2 linked regions of the Anolis sagrei genome follow. The protein of the gene in region 2 binds, or shares a complex with, the protein of the main gene of each other region. Links are inferred from orthologs where the notes say so. Each region holds a gene or a part of one and is shown on either strand. Other genes may lie near its edges. The genes, in order: NELL1 and ROBO3.

Region 1 (7,257 bases), on a different chromosome or scaffold from region 2:
TTGTCCAAAAAACTTCACAACCTCTGAGGATGCCTGCTATAGATGCAGGCAAAATGTCAGGAGAGAATGCTTCTGGAACATGGCCAGACAGCCTGGAAAACTTACAACAACCCAAAACTTCAAACTGTTCTATTACATATACAATTAAAAAAACTTTTAACAGCATTTTACAGCAATGTTCAGGACTGTTCCCAATTGCACACACAGCCCTAGAAAACTGTTTCTTTTGATGCAAGGACTGGGAAATGTTCCCATGATCTATTCATTTGTCCTGTCATTTTCAACATTGCAATCCAGTTGCCCTAAAAAGCAGTCTGCTCCAGTTAAGCCTCAATTAAAATGTGTCCTTATATTAGTTTCCTGGATTAACAGCTAAATCACAGAGAGAGGGTTTTCTCTGCATGCACCCAAAAAAAGCATTTCATAATATAATTAGTTTTTGCATTAGTGTGTGTTGTGTGTGTGCCTTCCAGTCACGTGTCAAATTATGATGACCCCATTAATTTCAGAGTGTTGTCCTAGGCAAAGAACACTTGGAGGTGGCTTTGCCAATTCTTCTGGCAAATCACTGTGAATGCCAGCACTTGGAAGGATGGCCCACTTCCATGTGAATGAAATGTGAAATATCAGCCCCTGCTTGTACTCCCCTTCTCTTTCTGCGGCAGAGATGTCTCTGAAGTGAAAGAATTTCTGTAAGCTGTTTCATTTGCTACTTCAAATCCTTTCCATCTTCTGTAAACAAACAAAAGATGCCCGGTAGGCTCCCTAAACTTTTTCTTACTGGTTTGGAGGGGTGGAAGGTAAGAGGGAAACAGGCTTCCTCGGTCATTAAAATAATACTAGGGAAGGCAGGGTTAGGGTCAATGCCCAGACCACTGAGAAGGCATCTAGCTACACAGAGAAAGAGGCTTCTCCCTCAAACCATGCAAAAAGCAAGAGCAACACTTGCTCCACCAAGCCTGCTTGTCAAATACAGAAGCGCTGACAGCTGATTCCTCGTGCAATTGATGGGGATTTGAAGGCAATATGAACGAGCAAGGTGCTTTGAATCTGGTGTCATGATCTCTTGGAGTGCCTTTCCCCGCCAAGCCCTACATTTTCCCCTTCGCCCCCCAGGAAAGGCGTGCTGTTTTAAGTCTCAAGCCAAGCGAGCTGCATGCCCTCGGCTGGGAAGACAATAAAAGAGTGCCACCCATGTGCAACGCTAAGAAACAGGCACTCCGCTCTGCTCTGCCGAAGAAGAGCATTCACCTGGCGCTTTGTATTTCATCATATATGTATAATTTTTTTACAAAATCCTTGTGATCCTCTCCAAGGGAATGATCTCCCCTCTGGCAGGTGGAAATCACCTTTCTTGGGCGGTTATTACAGGAGAGGAAGATCAATCCCTTCACCGGGGCTTGCCTCGTGCGGTGATGAGCAGCAAGGCTTCTTTAAGGGGAAGGAAGCCAGGTCTGGGTCGGATGGGAGGAGGAGGAGGAGGAGGAGGAGGAGGAGGAGGAGGGGGCAGGGGGGGGGGCGCACGGCGTGAATCTGGGAAGAAGGGGGGTTGCACAGCAAGGACTTGTCTTCCCTCCTAAGGGAGGCTGCCGGGGGGGTGGAGTGTCCTAAGAGAGCAGCAGCAGACGCCGCCACTGCCATTACAATGCAAAGTTTCCGAGTTCCGCCCTGCAAGACGCGGCACAAAAGAAAAAGGAGAGAGAGAGAGAGAGAGGAGAATGAGGGGGGAAGGAGAGAGAGAGGGCCCTTCTACACAGCCCTATATATCCCAAAATATCGAGGCAGGAAATCCCACATTATCCGAGTGTGGTTTCAGGGCCCCTTCCACACAGCTAAATAAAATCCCACATTTTCTGCTTTGAACTGGGATATATGACAGTGTGGACTCAGATAACCCAGTTCACAGCTGATACTGTGGGATTTTCTGCCTTGACAATCTGGGATATAGGGCTGTGCGGAAGGGCCCAAAGAGAGAAGAGGAGAGAGAGAGGAGGAAGAAAGAGAGAGAGACCTTCTTGATCCCAGATCCTTCCTCTTCCCATTGGGATCGTGTGGTGTTTTTTTAATCGCTTCTTACAGCAATCATTGACTATTTGTCTGGGTCAGGCAAGGCAAGGAAGCGATGGGAGAAAGATCCAAACGGGAAGAAGAAGAAAAGATAGATTATCTAATGGGAAGAAGAATAGATAGATAGATAGATAGATAGATAGATAGATGACACATAGAGGTAGAGAGAGAGAGAGCAAGATAAAGAGCTAGAGGAGCCAGAAATCCTCCCTTGCTCCTTTCTCCGCGCCTCTTCCAGGGCGACTGTCATTCCCTCGCACGCAAAGCCCCATTTCGGGGGTAACTCGCGGGCCAAAGGGGACCCGCTCTAAATAGAGAAAGAAGGAGCGGTGAAATCCGCCGCGAAAAGAGGAGGAGGGGGAAGGCATCCTCCTCCTCCTCCTCCTCCTCGCCCACCTATTGTCTCCTTCGCAAGAGGGTCCCTCGGCGCCCCTCTGCCTTCTCCCCCGCCCAAGTGCCCCCTTCGCCCCTGGGAGAGCCAGCCTTCTTCCTTCCCTTGGCCAGGCCGGGCGGGGATGCCCTTCTTCCCTCTCCTCCTCCTCCTGGGGGCTCACCTGTCCTCGCCGCCGCCAGGCAGAGGCAGACGCCGACGATGCCCTCCATCTGGGCGGTGGGTCGGTGGCGCGGCGCGATGCCCCGTCGAAGCCTGGCCCGGGCTCTCCTTGGAGCATCAGCGCCGTCCAACTTGAGCGGCTCCCCTGGAAGGAGAGGGAGGGCGAGGGAGAGGGGGAGGAGGAGGAGGGGGAGAGCCAGGCCCACGTGCTCCTCTCCTCTCGGCCCGGCGCGGCTCTCAGGCGGCCTCCTCCCGGGAAGAGCGGCTGGATGGGTGGAGGGGAGGGGAGGGGAGGGTCTCCTCCTCCTCCTCCAGCTCCGCTTTGTTCAGCTCCTGCCGCCGCCGCCCCTCCTCGCGCTCGAAGGACAGCGGCACCGTCAGCTCGCCCGCCTGCCTGCCTTTCTCTCTATGTGTAGGGAAAGGGGGGGGGGAGAGAAAGGGGCGCCCCCCCCCCTCTTGGAGCCTAATGGATCAGTCTAAAGCGCCGCCACTCCTTTCCCCCGAGCGGGAGGCAGGGGCATCTTTGGGAAATCGAGGGGGCGGTGGGAAAGGAGAGACAGAGCAAGAGAGATGAAGAACTGCTCAGGAAGGATGCTCCTATCCAGAGATCTGAGCAACTTGGAGGATGCTGCTTCTGCTGGCCCCCGTCTCCAACGAGACGGAAGCCGAGATTAAAGGAGAACTCGCCGCTTGATGTTCTTGAAGGATCCCAGAATTAATGTCCTTCCCCCCCCCCCCCACTCCCCGTGGGGTTTGTGGAATGAAGAGGACGCCTCCTCGTGCATCTGAACAAGCCCAAATGGCAACGCTCCAAAGCGTGGGGGTAAAACTGCCAGTCTTCGGGGCGCAACAGGGTTCTGGGGTCTTCTCCTCTGCCCTTGGGGAACCTGTGGCGACTAGACAGGCCCAACTTCCCCGGGGCTCAAAGGGGCAGCTTGGAGGGCTTCGAGGCATGGCCCTGCCCGAGACCCAAACAGGGTTTTGCTAAGCACGCAGTAGCAACCACTACCTTGTGGAACGTCAACAGTTGCTTGCACCCGCCCAGCTATTGACCCCATTAAAAAAATCACGCGTGTCCAGGCCCTGGTTGTGGCGAGATGCTGCTTCGGCTGTCCCTGCCGAAATCCCTGCTCCGCTCCTAAAGGCAGATGACCCTCCTTGCGACCCTCCTTCTGTGCCTCCTTTGCACTCATTCACAGGCCGAACAGGGACCTCTTAAGCACTCTTTCAATGACTCCAACATCTTGACCATATGCAGGTTGATTGGGAAGGGAGCCCCACTGGGAGGCATCCGAGGGGCTTCCCAATATGTGCCTGCACTCTGCTGGATATACCGAGTTTGCAGTGGACATACATTAAGACAAAATGAGGTTATCACCTCAAGAAATTGAGGTGTGCCAGCGACTATTTATTTGTTTGTTTATTTATTTATTGTGTCAAAACCAAATTGAGAGTACAGTTATTATTTTATTATTATCTATCTCTATAAAAAATGCTCTCTTCGTTTTAAGTGACATCATAACTCAAAATTCGCTGGACGAATTGCCACCAAAGTTGGCCACAAGACACCTACTAACCAAAGGAGTAACCATCACTCAAAAATGATTTTGTCATTTGGGAGTTGTAGTTGTTGGGATTTATAGTTAACCTACAATCAAAGAACATTCCGAACTCCACTAATGATTGAAGTGAACCAAACTTGGCACACAGGACTCCCATGACCAACAGAAAATACTAGAAGGGTTTGATTGGCATTGACCTTGAGTTTTGGAGTTGTAGTTCACCTACATCCAGAGAGCACTGTGGGCTCAGACAATGTAGGATCAAGACCAAACTTGGCACAAATACTCTATATGTCCAAATATGAAGACAGATGGAGTTTGGAGAAAATAGACCTTGACATTTGAGAGTTGTAGATACTGGGATTTATAGTTCACCTACAATCAAAGAGCATTCTGAACTCCAACAATAATAGAATTGGGCCAAACTTCCCACACAGAACTCTCATAACCAACAGAAAATACTGTGTTTTCTGGTGGTCTTTGGTGACCCTTCTGACACCCCCTCGTGACCCCAAGGGGTCCTGACCCCCAGGTTGAGAAATGCTTCCTTAAGGCCATCCAGTCCAACTCCCTTCACCAGGGCAAGAAAACATAATCCAGACCTCCTGACAAAGAGCCATCCAGCTATGTGTGTGAGAGAGATTCACACGCACACACACACACACATAGTATCATAGATTTGAATGGGACCCCTGAAAAAGGACAATTATATGTTGGCATGTTCCAGAGTAGGCAAACCAGACAATCACAACATCAACACTGACAAAGAAACAACAAGAAATACTACTTACCCACAATCATAAAGAAATTACCAATATTATAAACCAACACTTTCTCGTTACTTTATTTTCCAGATCTCCAGACTGAGCCACAGCAACGTGTGGCGGGGGACGCCTAGTCATGTATAAAAAAGCCACAAACAAAGTTAAAAACTTGGCATTATGCTAAATGTTCTTTGACCAGAAGCTGGCCACTTCAAGTGCCTCTGGTTTCACTGTGAGCAGGTCCTCCGTTGTGCATGTGGCAGGGCTCAGAGGTCTGTGGTTTGCTCTTCTCCAAACTCACATGTCATGGACTCCACTTTGAAGCCCCATTTCTTAAGATTCGCTCTGCACCTCGTGGTACCAGAGCACAGTCTATTCAGTGCCTTCCAAGTCACCCAGTCTTCTGGGTGCCCGGGGGGGGGGGGGAGTTTCTCATCCAGTATCAGCCACTGATTGAGGTTTCCAGGTTTTAGCATGCCACTTTTGGACTCTCACTTGCTGAGGTGTTCCTGCAAATATCTCTGTAGATCTTAGGAAGCTGTTTCTTGATTTAAGTCATTGGGATGCTGGCTGATATCAAAACAGAGGATGGATCAGTGATGTCATTGCCTTGGTCCTTTCATTGCTGGCTGCTACTACTTCATAGTAGACAGTAGGCTGCTACTACTTCACAGTGCAATACTGACAAAACAGTATAATTTCTCCAGTGGTGTTGGGCGTAGACATCCTGCGGTAATGCAGCATGTCTCATTAAGAGCCACATCCACTGGGCATGCATACTCAGCAATAGAGCAGCAACGCACAAGGGTAGATGTCTTCACTGTATCTGGTTGTGATCCCCAGGTTGTACCAGTCAGCTTTCGTATATTATTTCTAGCACCCACTTTTAGCTTGATATTCAAGCAGTGATTCTTATAAGTCAGAGCATGGTCCAGAGTAACTCCTAGCTATTTTGGGATGCTGCAATGCTTCAGTGGGAATCCTTCCCAGGTTATCCTCAGACCTCGAGATGCTTGTCTGTACTTAAGATGAAAAACACACGTCTGCACTTTAGATGGATTAGGAAGCGGCTGGTTTTCTCTGTAATAGGCAGTTAGAACACCTAAAGCTTCGGAGAGCTTCCGTTCAACCACGTCAAAGCTCCCTGCTTGAGCTGTGATGGCAAGATTGTCAGCATAGATGAAACTCTCTGTCCTTTCCGGCAATGGCTGTTTATTTGTCTAAATGTTGAACACTGATGGAGCAAGCATGCTCCCCCGAGGCAGGCTGTTCTTCTGTTTTCTCCTTCTGCTTCTTTGACTCTGGAACTCAACAAAAAAGTTCCTGTTTTGTAGCAGGCTTCCTATGAAGTGGGTGAAGTGGTAATCCTTTGTGATATTCTACATTTTTCTCAGGAGGAGGTGATGATTTACAGTGTCATAAGCTGCTGATGCGACTTGCAGTATGCAGCCTGGGATTATAAAGGGATATGAACCCTCTGCCAGCAAAGGAGCTATAATAAACCTTTTTATACATATGGTTCTATGGTTTGGTTTGAGTATTAGATTATGACTCTAGAGATGAGGGTTTGCCTTGAGTCCCTATTTCAGGAGAAAGTTGGGGTAAAAATAAAGTAAATAAAACCAAATAAATTATATCCTCCACTCAACCATGGAAACTTGCTGGGTGCCATTGTGTGAGTCCCATGCTCCCAGCCCAAGAAAAACACTGTGTTAGGATTGCCTTAGGGATGTCATAAGTCAGTAAACTTGAAGGCATCATCAACAAAGATACATAGAGATGGGATATGTTCCTAGGCACAGAAGTAAAATTCTATCAAAATCAATGGATGTTAATGCATTGGTAGGTACACTGAGTTCAAATACAGGTTGCACATTCCTTATCTTGAATTCCAAAATCAGAAATATTTCAAAATTCCATTTTGCCCATATGGATGGCTGAGATGGTGACACCTTGCTGATTGGAAGGTTGGTGGTTTGAATCCATGGGATGGAGTAAGCTCACACTGTTAGCCCCGGCTTCTGCCAACCTAGCAGTTCAAAATATGCAAATCAATAGGTACTGCTCCGGCGGGAAGGTAATGGCGCTCCATGCAGTCTTGCCGGCCACATGGTCTAGGACAGGGGTCCTCAAACTTTTTAAACAGAAGGCCAGGTCACAGACCCTCAAACTGTTGGAGAGCCGAATTATAATTTGAAAAAAAAATAACATGAATAATTCCCATGCACACTGCACAAATCTTATTTGTAGTTCAAAAACCACTTAAAAGCAATACAATAATTAAAATGAAGAACAATTTTAACAGATATAA
Region 2 (8,039 bases):
GGTTCAGAATGTTCTTTGATTGTATGTGAACTATAAATCCCAGCAACTACAACTCCCAAATGTCAAGGTCTATTTTCCCCAAGCTCCACCAGTTTTCACATTTGGGCATATTGATTATCTGTGCCAGGTTTGATCCAGATCTATCATTGTTTGAGTCGACAGTGCTCTCTGAATGTAGGTGAACTACAACTCCAAAACTCAATTTCAGTGTCCACCAAACCATTCCAGTATTTTCTGTTGTGCCAAGTTTGGTTCAATTCCATCGTTGGGGGAGTTCAGAATGCTCTTTGATTGTAGGTGAACTACAAATCCCAGCAACTACAACTCCCAAATAACAAAATCAATCCCCCCAACCCCACCAGTATTGAAATTTTGGCATATTGGGTATTTGTGCCAAATTTGGTCCAGTGAATGAATATACATCCTGCATATCAGATATTTACATTACAATTCATAACAGCAGCAAAAATTACAGTTATGAAGTAGCAAAGGAAATAATTTTAAGATTGGGGGTCACCACAACATGAGGAACTGTATTAAGGGGTTATGGCATTAGGAAGGTTGAGAAACATTGGTTTAGCTCACTGGTGAACTGGTTGAGACTGGAGGAGACATTAATGTAATATAATATATTGTATATACATAAAATATTGATAATATTATAATGTTACACAATATAATACTAATAATGATAATATGATATTATAATCATATATTTATATTACATGTAATATTACTATTTTTTTCGTGCCAGGAGCGACTTGAGAAACTGCAAGTTGCTTCTGGTGTGAGAGAATTGGCCATCTGCAAGGACGTTGCCCAAGAGACGGCCAGATGTTTTGATGTTTTACCATCCTTTGTGGGAGGCATCTTTCATGTCCCCGTATGAGAAGCTCATCCGCGCTCTCCCTGGATTCGAACCTGTGACCTGTCGGTCTTCAGTCCTGCCAGCACAGGGATTTAACCCATTACGCCACCCAATCGTATAATACAATATAGTAATATTTAATACTGATATTGTGCTATGCTAATAATATAGTATATTGTATGTACATCTAAGCTCATCAGTTGGAACCAAACTTCTGAAGGACAAAAAATTTATTGCACTACGTTGGAAAGAACACTGCCAAAGCCTCCTGAATCGCAGCTCCAATGTGGACGAAGAGGTTCTCTCACAAATCCCACAACAACAAACCAGGGATGAGCTTGCAGCACTGCCTAGTTTGGAAGAAGTCAGCAATGTTATCAGCCAACAAAAAAATAACAAAGCCAGCGGACCTGATGGGATCCCTGTTGAAATCTTTAAAGAGGGAGGACCTGAGCTAACACAACAACTCCACCAACTCATTGAAAAAGTGTGGGTGACTGAGTGTATATACTGAGAGTATATACAAGATATATATCTTGTAAGCTGTTCTGAGTCCCCTTCGGGGTGAGAAGGACGGCATATAAATGTCATAAATAAATACATTGAAAAACTAGAGCAAAATGTGCCTGCACAAACAAAGTTGTGGAAGTTGAACAAACTTTTCCCCATGTTCTTTATGACAGAAGCAATTCGGAAATGACACTGACAGCCCAGGAGTGACAATTGTGTTACAGCATAGTGTGATTTTCTATCAAAAGTGTTCCTGGAAAGCACAGAGTTGCAATTTGGCACACTTTTCAACTTTGGTCTTGTTCCCTGGAGAGGAGTCGGAAAGAGCAGAACTTCTCTCCAGGATGAGAAAAGGGCTTCTAATGGAAACAATCCCCCTTTGAGTGAGATCCAAAAGAACCTGGAATCCCCCAAAGCCCCCCATGTGAGCCCCAGAGGAACAGAAGTGACGCATCCCTCTGAACAGGAGGAAGAAATTCAGCTCTGAATGGGGCGCATCTCCCAATGCAGTTGAATACTACTTCCACTGCCCTGGCTCAATGCTGTGCGGATGCAGTTTGAAGAGAAAGACTTCTCTGATAAGCATCCCATAGCATTGAGCTCTTTGTCTTGAGACGCGAGTGGGTGCATTGAGATGCGAGTGGGACTGGAGAAGGGAAGGGAGAGAGAGGCGAATGGTCTCACTGCAAAAGTGTTCCTGGAAAGCACAGAGCTGCAATTTGGCACACTTTTCAACTTTAGTCTTGTTCCCTGGAGAGGAGTCGGAAAGAGCAGAACTTCTCTCCAGGATGAGAAAAGGGCTTCTAATGGAAACAACCCCCCTTTGAGTGAGATCCCAAAGAACCTCGAATCCCCCAAAGCCCCCCATTTGATCCCCAGAGGGACAGAAGTGACGCATCCCTCCAAACAGGAGAGAGAAACTCAGTTCTGAGTGGGGCGCATCTCCCAATGCAGTTGAATACTGCTTCCACTGTCCTGCCTCAATGCTGTGCGGATGCAGTTTGAAGAGAAGGACTTCTCTGATAAGCATCCCATAGCATTGAGTTCTTTGTCTTGAGATGCGAGTGGGTGCACTGAGATGCGAGTAGGATTGGAGAAGGGAAGGGAGAGAGAGGCAAATGGTCTCATTGCAAAAGTGTTCCTGGAAAGCACAGAATTGCAATTTGGCACACTTTTCAACTTTGGGCTTGTTTCCTGGAGAGGAGTCGGAAGGAGCAGAACTTCTCTCCAGGATGAGAAAAGGGCTTCTAATGGAAACAATCCCCCTTTGAGTGAAATCCCAAAGAACCTCGAATCCCCCAAAGCCCCCCATTTGATCCCCTGAGGGACAGAAGTGACGCATCCCTCCGAACAGGAGAGAGAAACTCAGCTCTGAATGGGACACATCTCGCAATGCAGTTGGGCACTGAATCATAGAATCAAAGACACTGTTTCCACTGTCTTGGCTCAATGCTGTGTGGATGCAGTTTGAAGAGAAGGACTTCTCTGATAAGCATCCCATAGCATTGAGCTCTTTGTCTTGAGATGCGAGTGGGTGCATTGAGATGCGAGTGGGACTGAAGAAGGGAAGGGGGAGAGAGGCGAAAGGTCTCATTGCAAAAGCCAAAGGAAGCTCCTGTTTCCCGTCCCCATGCTCACCGTTGGTGCTGGTCAGGTTGCCCAGGTCAAGGAGGCTAAGGCCGGCGTCCGAGGAGGAGTTGAGGCGGAGTAGGAGCTCCGAGGAGTTGCCCAAGGCGTCCCCGGCTGCTAGAGAGTCGGCGAAAAGGTTCATTTGCAGCAACGTCTGGAGCAGGTAGCGCAACATCCCGGCCGCCCCTCCGGCCCCACGACGCCGCCTGTGCCGGCATCCGAGGAGGAAGAGGAGGAGTGGGAGGAAGCAGAGTAGTAGAGCAGCAGAGCCGCAGCCACCCCCAGCAGTGCCCGCCGCCGGCCTCTGCAGCTTCCTCTGCACCTCCTGGCTCGCCCGCCTTCGCAGAGCTCTCTCTCCTCTCCCCTCCTTCTTCCCTTCCTTCCTTCTCTCCTTGGGACTGGTCTCCCTCCTCCCAGGCAGAAAGCAGGTGCCGCCACCAATAAATGTTTAATTATCGGATTAATAACTCTCCCTGGAGAGGTGGGGAGGGGGCGAGGGGGTGGGGAAGAGGCGCCCCTCCCTTCCCACCCCCTTCTCCCCCCTTACACAACACTCCCCTGCCCGCCTTTGCTCTCCAAAGTAAGGCAAGGATGGAGAAAGGAATGGGAAAGAAAGGGTCGCGTTTAGGAAACAGTCATGGAATCCTAGAATTGGAAGAGACCTCATGGGCCATCCAGCCCAACTCCATTCTGCAGGAAAATTGCTTTCAAAGCACCCCCAACAGATGGGCATCCAGCCTCTGCTTCAAAGCCTCCAAAGATGGAGCCATCACTACACTCCAGGGCATAGAGTTCCACTGCTTAACAGCTCTGCCCATCCAGCTTCTGCTTCAAAGCCTCCAAAGATGGAGCTTCCACTACACTCCAGGGCAGAGAGTTCCACTGCTGAACAGCTCTTCCCATCCAGCTTCTGCTTCAAAGCCTCCAAAGATGGAGCTTCCACTATACTCCAGGGCAGAGAGTTCCACTGCTGAACAGCTCTGCCCATCCAGCTTCTGCTTCAAAGCCTCCAAAGATGGAGCTTCCACTATACTCCAGGGCATAGAGTTCCACTGCTGAACAGCTCTTCCCATCCAGCTTCTGCTTCAAAGCCTCCAAAGATGGAAACTTCATTACACTCCACGGCAGAGTGTTCCACTGCTGAACAGCTCTGCCCATCCAGCTTCTGCTACAAAGCCTCCAAAGATGGAGCCTTCACTACACACCAGGGCAGAGAGTTCCACTGCTGAATAGCATGTACAGTCAGCAAGTTCTTAGAATCACAGAGTGGGCCATCCAGTCCAACCCCCTGCCAAAAGGCAGGAAAATCGAATTCAAAGCACCCCCATCCAGCCTCTGTTTAAAAGCCTCCATAGAAGGAGCCTCTACCACACTCTGGGGCAGAGAGTTCCACTGCTGAACAGCTATACAGTCAGTAAGTTCTTAGAATCATACAATCCTAGAGTTGGAAGAGACCTCATGGGCCATCCAGTCCAACCCCCTGCCAAGAAGCATTCAAAGCACCCCCGACAGATGGCCATCCAGCCTCTGCTTCAAAGCCTCCAAAGACGGAGCCTTCACTACACTCCAGGGCAGAGAGTTCCACTGCTGAATAGCATGTACAGTCAGTAAGTTCTTTGACTCATAGAGTTGGAAGAGACTTCATGGGCCATCCAGTCCAACCCCCTGCCAAGAAGCAGGAAAATCACATTCAAAGCACCCCCAACAGATGGGCATCCAGCCTCTGCTTCAAAGCCTCCAAAGATGGAGCCTTCACTACACTCCAGGGCAGAGTGTTCCACTGCTGAACAGCTGGTACAGCTGGTCAATAAGTTCTTAGAATCATAAGAGTTGGAAGAGACCTCGTGGGCTATCCAGTCCCAACTCCCTGCCAAGAAGCAGGAAAATCGCATTCAAAGCACCACCATCCAGCCTCTGTTTAAAAGCCTCCATAGAAGGAGCCCCTGCCACACTCCAGGGCAGGGAGTTCCACTGCTGAACAGCTGGTACGTTCAGTAAGTTCTTAGAATCATAGAATCATAGAGTTAGAAAAAGACCTCGTGGGCCATCCAGTCCAACCCCCTGCAAAGAAGCAGGAAAATTGATTTTTTTAAAAAAAAATCTCTTTTTTTAATTTCTATTTCTTGTGTATTCCACTCTTCGTTACTCACTTTTGATGTATATACTTACAAAATTCAATAAAAATTTAAATTAAAAAAAGATAATTGCATTCAAAGCACCCTCCACAGATGGCCATCCAGCCTCTGTTTCAAAGCCTCCAAAGATGAAGCCTGCACTACACTCCAGGGCAGAGAGTTCCACTGCCGAACAGCTGGTACAGTCAGGAAGTTTTTCCTCATGTTCAGGTGGAATCTCATTTCCTGTAGTCCAGAGGTCCTCAGCCTTCCTCTGGCCACGAGCAATTCAATCTAAATGGCCTTCAGTGTTAGGCAGAGTCATTGGTATCCAAAGAGTTTTGATGCGAGTGGGCTGGGAACTCTGCTCCAGGTTTTAGTCCAGCGTTTCTCAACCTGGGGGTCAGGACGCCCTGGGGGGTTGCAAGGGGGTGTCAGAAGGGTCGCCAAAGATTATCAGAAAACACTGTATTCTCTGTTGGTCATGGGGGCTCAGTGTGTGAAGTTTGACCCAGTTCTATCATTGGTGGGGTTCAGAATGCTCTTTGATTGTAGGTGAACTATAAATCCCAGCACCCACAACTTCCAAATGTCAAGGTCTATTTTCCCCAAAATCCATCAGTGTTCGCATTTGGTTATATTGAGTATTTGTGCCAAGTTTGATCTAGAACCATAATTGTTTGAGTCCACACTGTTCTCTGGATGTAGGTAAACTACAACTCCCAAACTCAAAGTTGATGCTCACCAAACCCTTCCAGTATTTTCTCTTTATCACGGGAGTTCTGTGTGCCAAGTTTGGTTCAGTTCCATCATTGGTGCAGTTCAGAATGCCCACAACTCCCAAATGTCAAGGTCTATTTTCCCCAAATTCCATCAGTGTTTACATTTGGTTATTTATTATTTACTTCATTTATATACCACTTTTCTCAGCCCTTGGGCAACTCTAGTTTGATCTAGATCCATAATTGTTTGAGTCCACAGTGCTCTCTGGATGTAGGTGAACTACAACTCCAAAACTCAAGCTTAATGCCTACCAAACCCTTTCAGTATTTTCTGTTGGTCATGGGAGTTCTGTGTGCCAGGTTTGATTGAATTCCACTGCTGGTGAAGTTCGGAATGCTCTTTGATTGTAGGTGAACTATAAATCCCAGGAACTACAACTCCCAAATGACAAAGTCAATCCTCCCCCAACCCCATCAGTATCCAAATTTGGGTGGATCTGGTACTTGTTCCAAATGTGGTCCAGTGAATGAAAATACATCCTGCATATCAGATATTTACATTCCAATTCATAACAGTAGTAGAATTACAGTTATGAAGTAGCAACGAAAATAATTTTATGGTTTGGGGGTCACCACAACATGAAGAAAGGGCATTAGGACGGTTGAGAAACACTGTTTTTGTACTTTCAAGGGGCTCTTGAAGGTGCCAGACTTTAAAGAAGGGAAATGTATTCAGCACTTTGGACAGTTCCTTCATTCTGAAAGGCAAAATAAGGTCCCCATTCCAGCCCTGTAGAAATAAAATGGGAAATGGACTTCTGCTTTGTCTACAGAAACCTCCTCAAGTTCAGTCTCTCACTCCTCCAGCTTCAAATGAGAATTTTAAAAAGATCCAGGAAAGTGCCTTCCCTGCCAGTCAGAGTGGCTTGAAGAACAAACAGTCTGGTTTGGAAGAAAGCAGGCTGCAGTGTTCTTGCTTCCCAGCTGCTTCCCTGGTTCTTGCTCTCAAGGAATGGCGCACGTGGCAACCGCGTGGCAGCCCTGTCCGTGTCCACCCAGCCGCACACCTCTGCTGCTATGCGCCAGAGTCAGCATTTCCATGTTTCATCGTAAATGTCATCACTGCTGTGGGATGGCTGAAGAGGGAGTCCTGTACAGCACAGCAGAAATGTGACAGGTTGCAAGAGATAGCGGCTTCCTTGCAATGCGGAATGATCAGCTAAGAAACTCACTTTTGGACTGCTTTAGAAGGAATATCAGTCTTTTGTAGTAGGGAGGGAAGGAAGGAAGTAATCTAGCAGCACTTTTAAGACCAGCTCCTTTATATTTTAACATAAGCTTCTTGTGCAGTGATGAAATGAAAGCAATGGGTTAATGAAGACATTTAAAGAGAAGTTGTACTATCCCTGTAATAGGCAGTGCTCTCACTGCCTATTACAGGGAAAACCAACTGATCCCTAATCCATCTAAAACACAGACATGTGCCTTTCACCTTAAGAACAGACAAGCATCCCGAGCTCTGAGGATTACCTAGGAAGGAATCTCACTGGAGCATTGCAGCGCTCCAAATACCTGGGAGTCACTTTGGACCGTGCTCTGACCTACAAGAAGCACTGCCTGAACATCAAGCAAAAAGTGGGCGCTAGAAACAACATCATACGAAAGCTGACTGGCACAACCTGGGGATCACAACCAGACACAGTGAAGACATCTGCCCTTGCACTTTGCTACTCTGCTGCTGAGTATGCATGCCTAGTGTGGAACACATCTCACCACACTAAAACAGTGGATGTGGCTCTTAATGAGACATGCCGCATTATCACGGGGTGTCTGCGCCCTACACCACTGGAGAAATTACACTGCTTAGCCGGTATTGCACTGACATCCGCCGGGAAGTAGCAGCCAATAGTGAAAGGACCAAGGCAGAGACATCTCCAGCTCATCCCCTGTTTGGGTATCAGCCAACACATCAACGACTTAAATCAAGACATAGTTTTCTTAGATCTACAGAGACACTCGCTGGAACACCCCAGCAAGCGAGAGTCCAAAAGTGGCAGGCCCAAACCCAGCATCTCAATCCATGGGGGATACTAGATGAGAGACTCCCCCCTGGGCACTCAGAAGTCTGGGCGACTTGGAAGGCGCTGAACAGACTGTGCTCTGGCACCACGAGATGCAGAGCCAACCTCAAGAAAT

Evidence for each region.
Region 1: the proteins of ROBO3 (region 2) and NELL1 are in contact, whole or in part, in a crystal structure (PDB 6POL), measured with the Homo sapiens proteins. The link is inferred for Anolis sagrei from reciprocal best matches to the Homo sapiens genes ROBO3 and NELL1. Residues at the interface, in NP_071765.2 of Homo sapiens: Ser553, Pro555, Val590, Glu592, Phe594, Pro596, Asn600, Thr601, Trp602, Thr604, Ile624, Leu626, Arg630, Gly633, Ala634, Trp635, Gly636, Leu637, Ser638, Glu639, Pro646, Val647, Arg648; in NP_006148.2 of Homo sapiens: Ala440, Lys441, Met442, His443, Tyr444, His446, Tyr458, Arg468, Val469, Asp470, Asp471, Phe472, Ser473, Asp478, Ile492, Cys493, Thr494, Asn495, Thr503, Cys504, Lys505, Pro506.

The regions. Positions count from the first base shown.
Region 1 is NC_090021.1:264,555,902-264,563,158, forward strand, and holds the start of NELL1 (protein kinase C-binding protein NELL1), read right to left. Parts: upstream 3,057-7,257; 5' UTR 2,671-3,056; coding exon 2,622-2,670; intron 1-2,621. UniProt on the Homo sapiens protein: Plays a role in the control of cell growth and differentiation. Promotes osteoblast cell differentiation and terminal mineralization.
Region 2 is NC_090027.1:17,922,284-17,930,322, forward strand, and holds the start of ROBO3 (roundabout homolog 3), read right to left. Parts: upstream 3,242-8,039; 5' UTR 3,183-3,241; coding exon 3,017-3,182; intron 1-3,016. UniProt on the Homo sapiens protein: Receptor involved in axon guidance during development. Acts as a multifunctional regulator of pathfinding that simultaneously mediates NELL2 repulsion, inhibits SLIT repulsion, and facilitates Netrin-1/NTN1 attraction.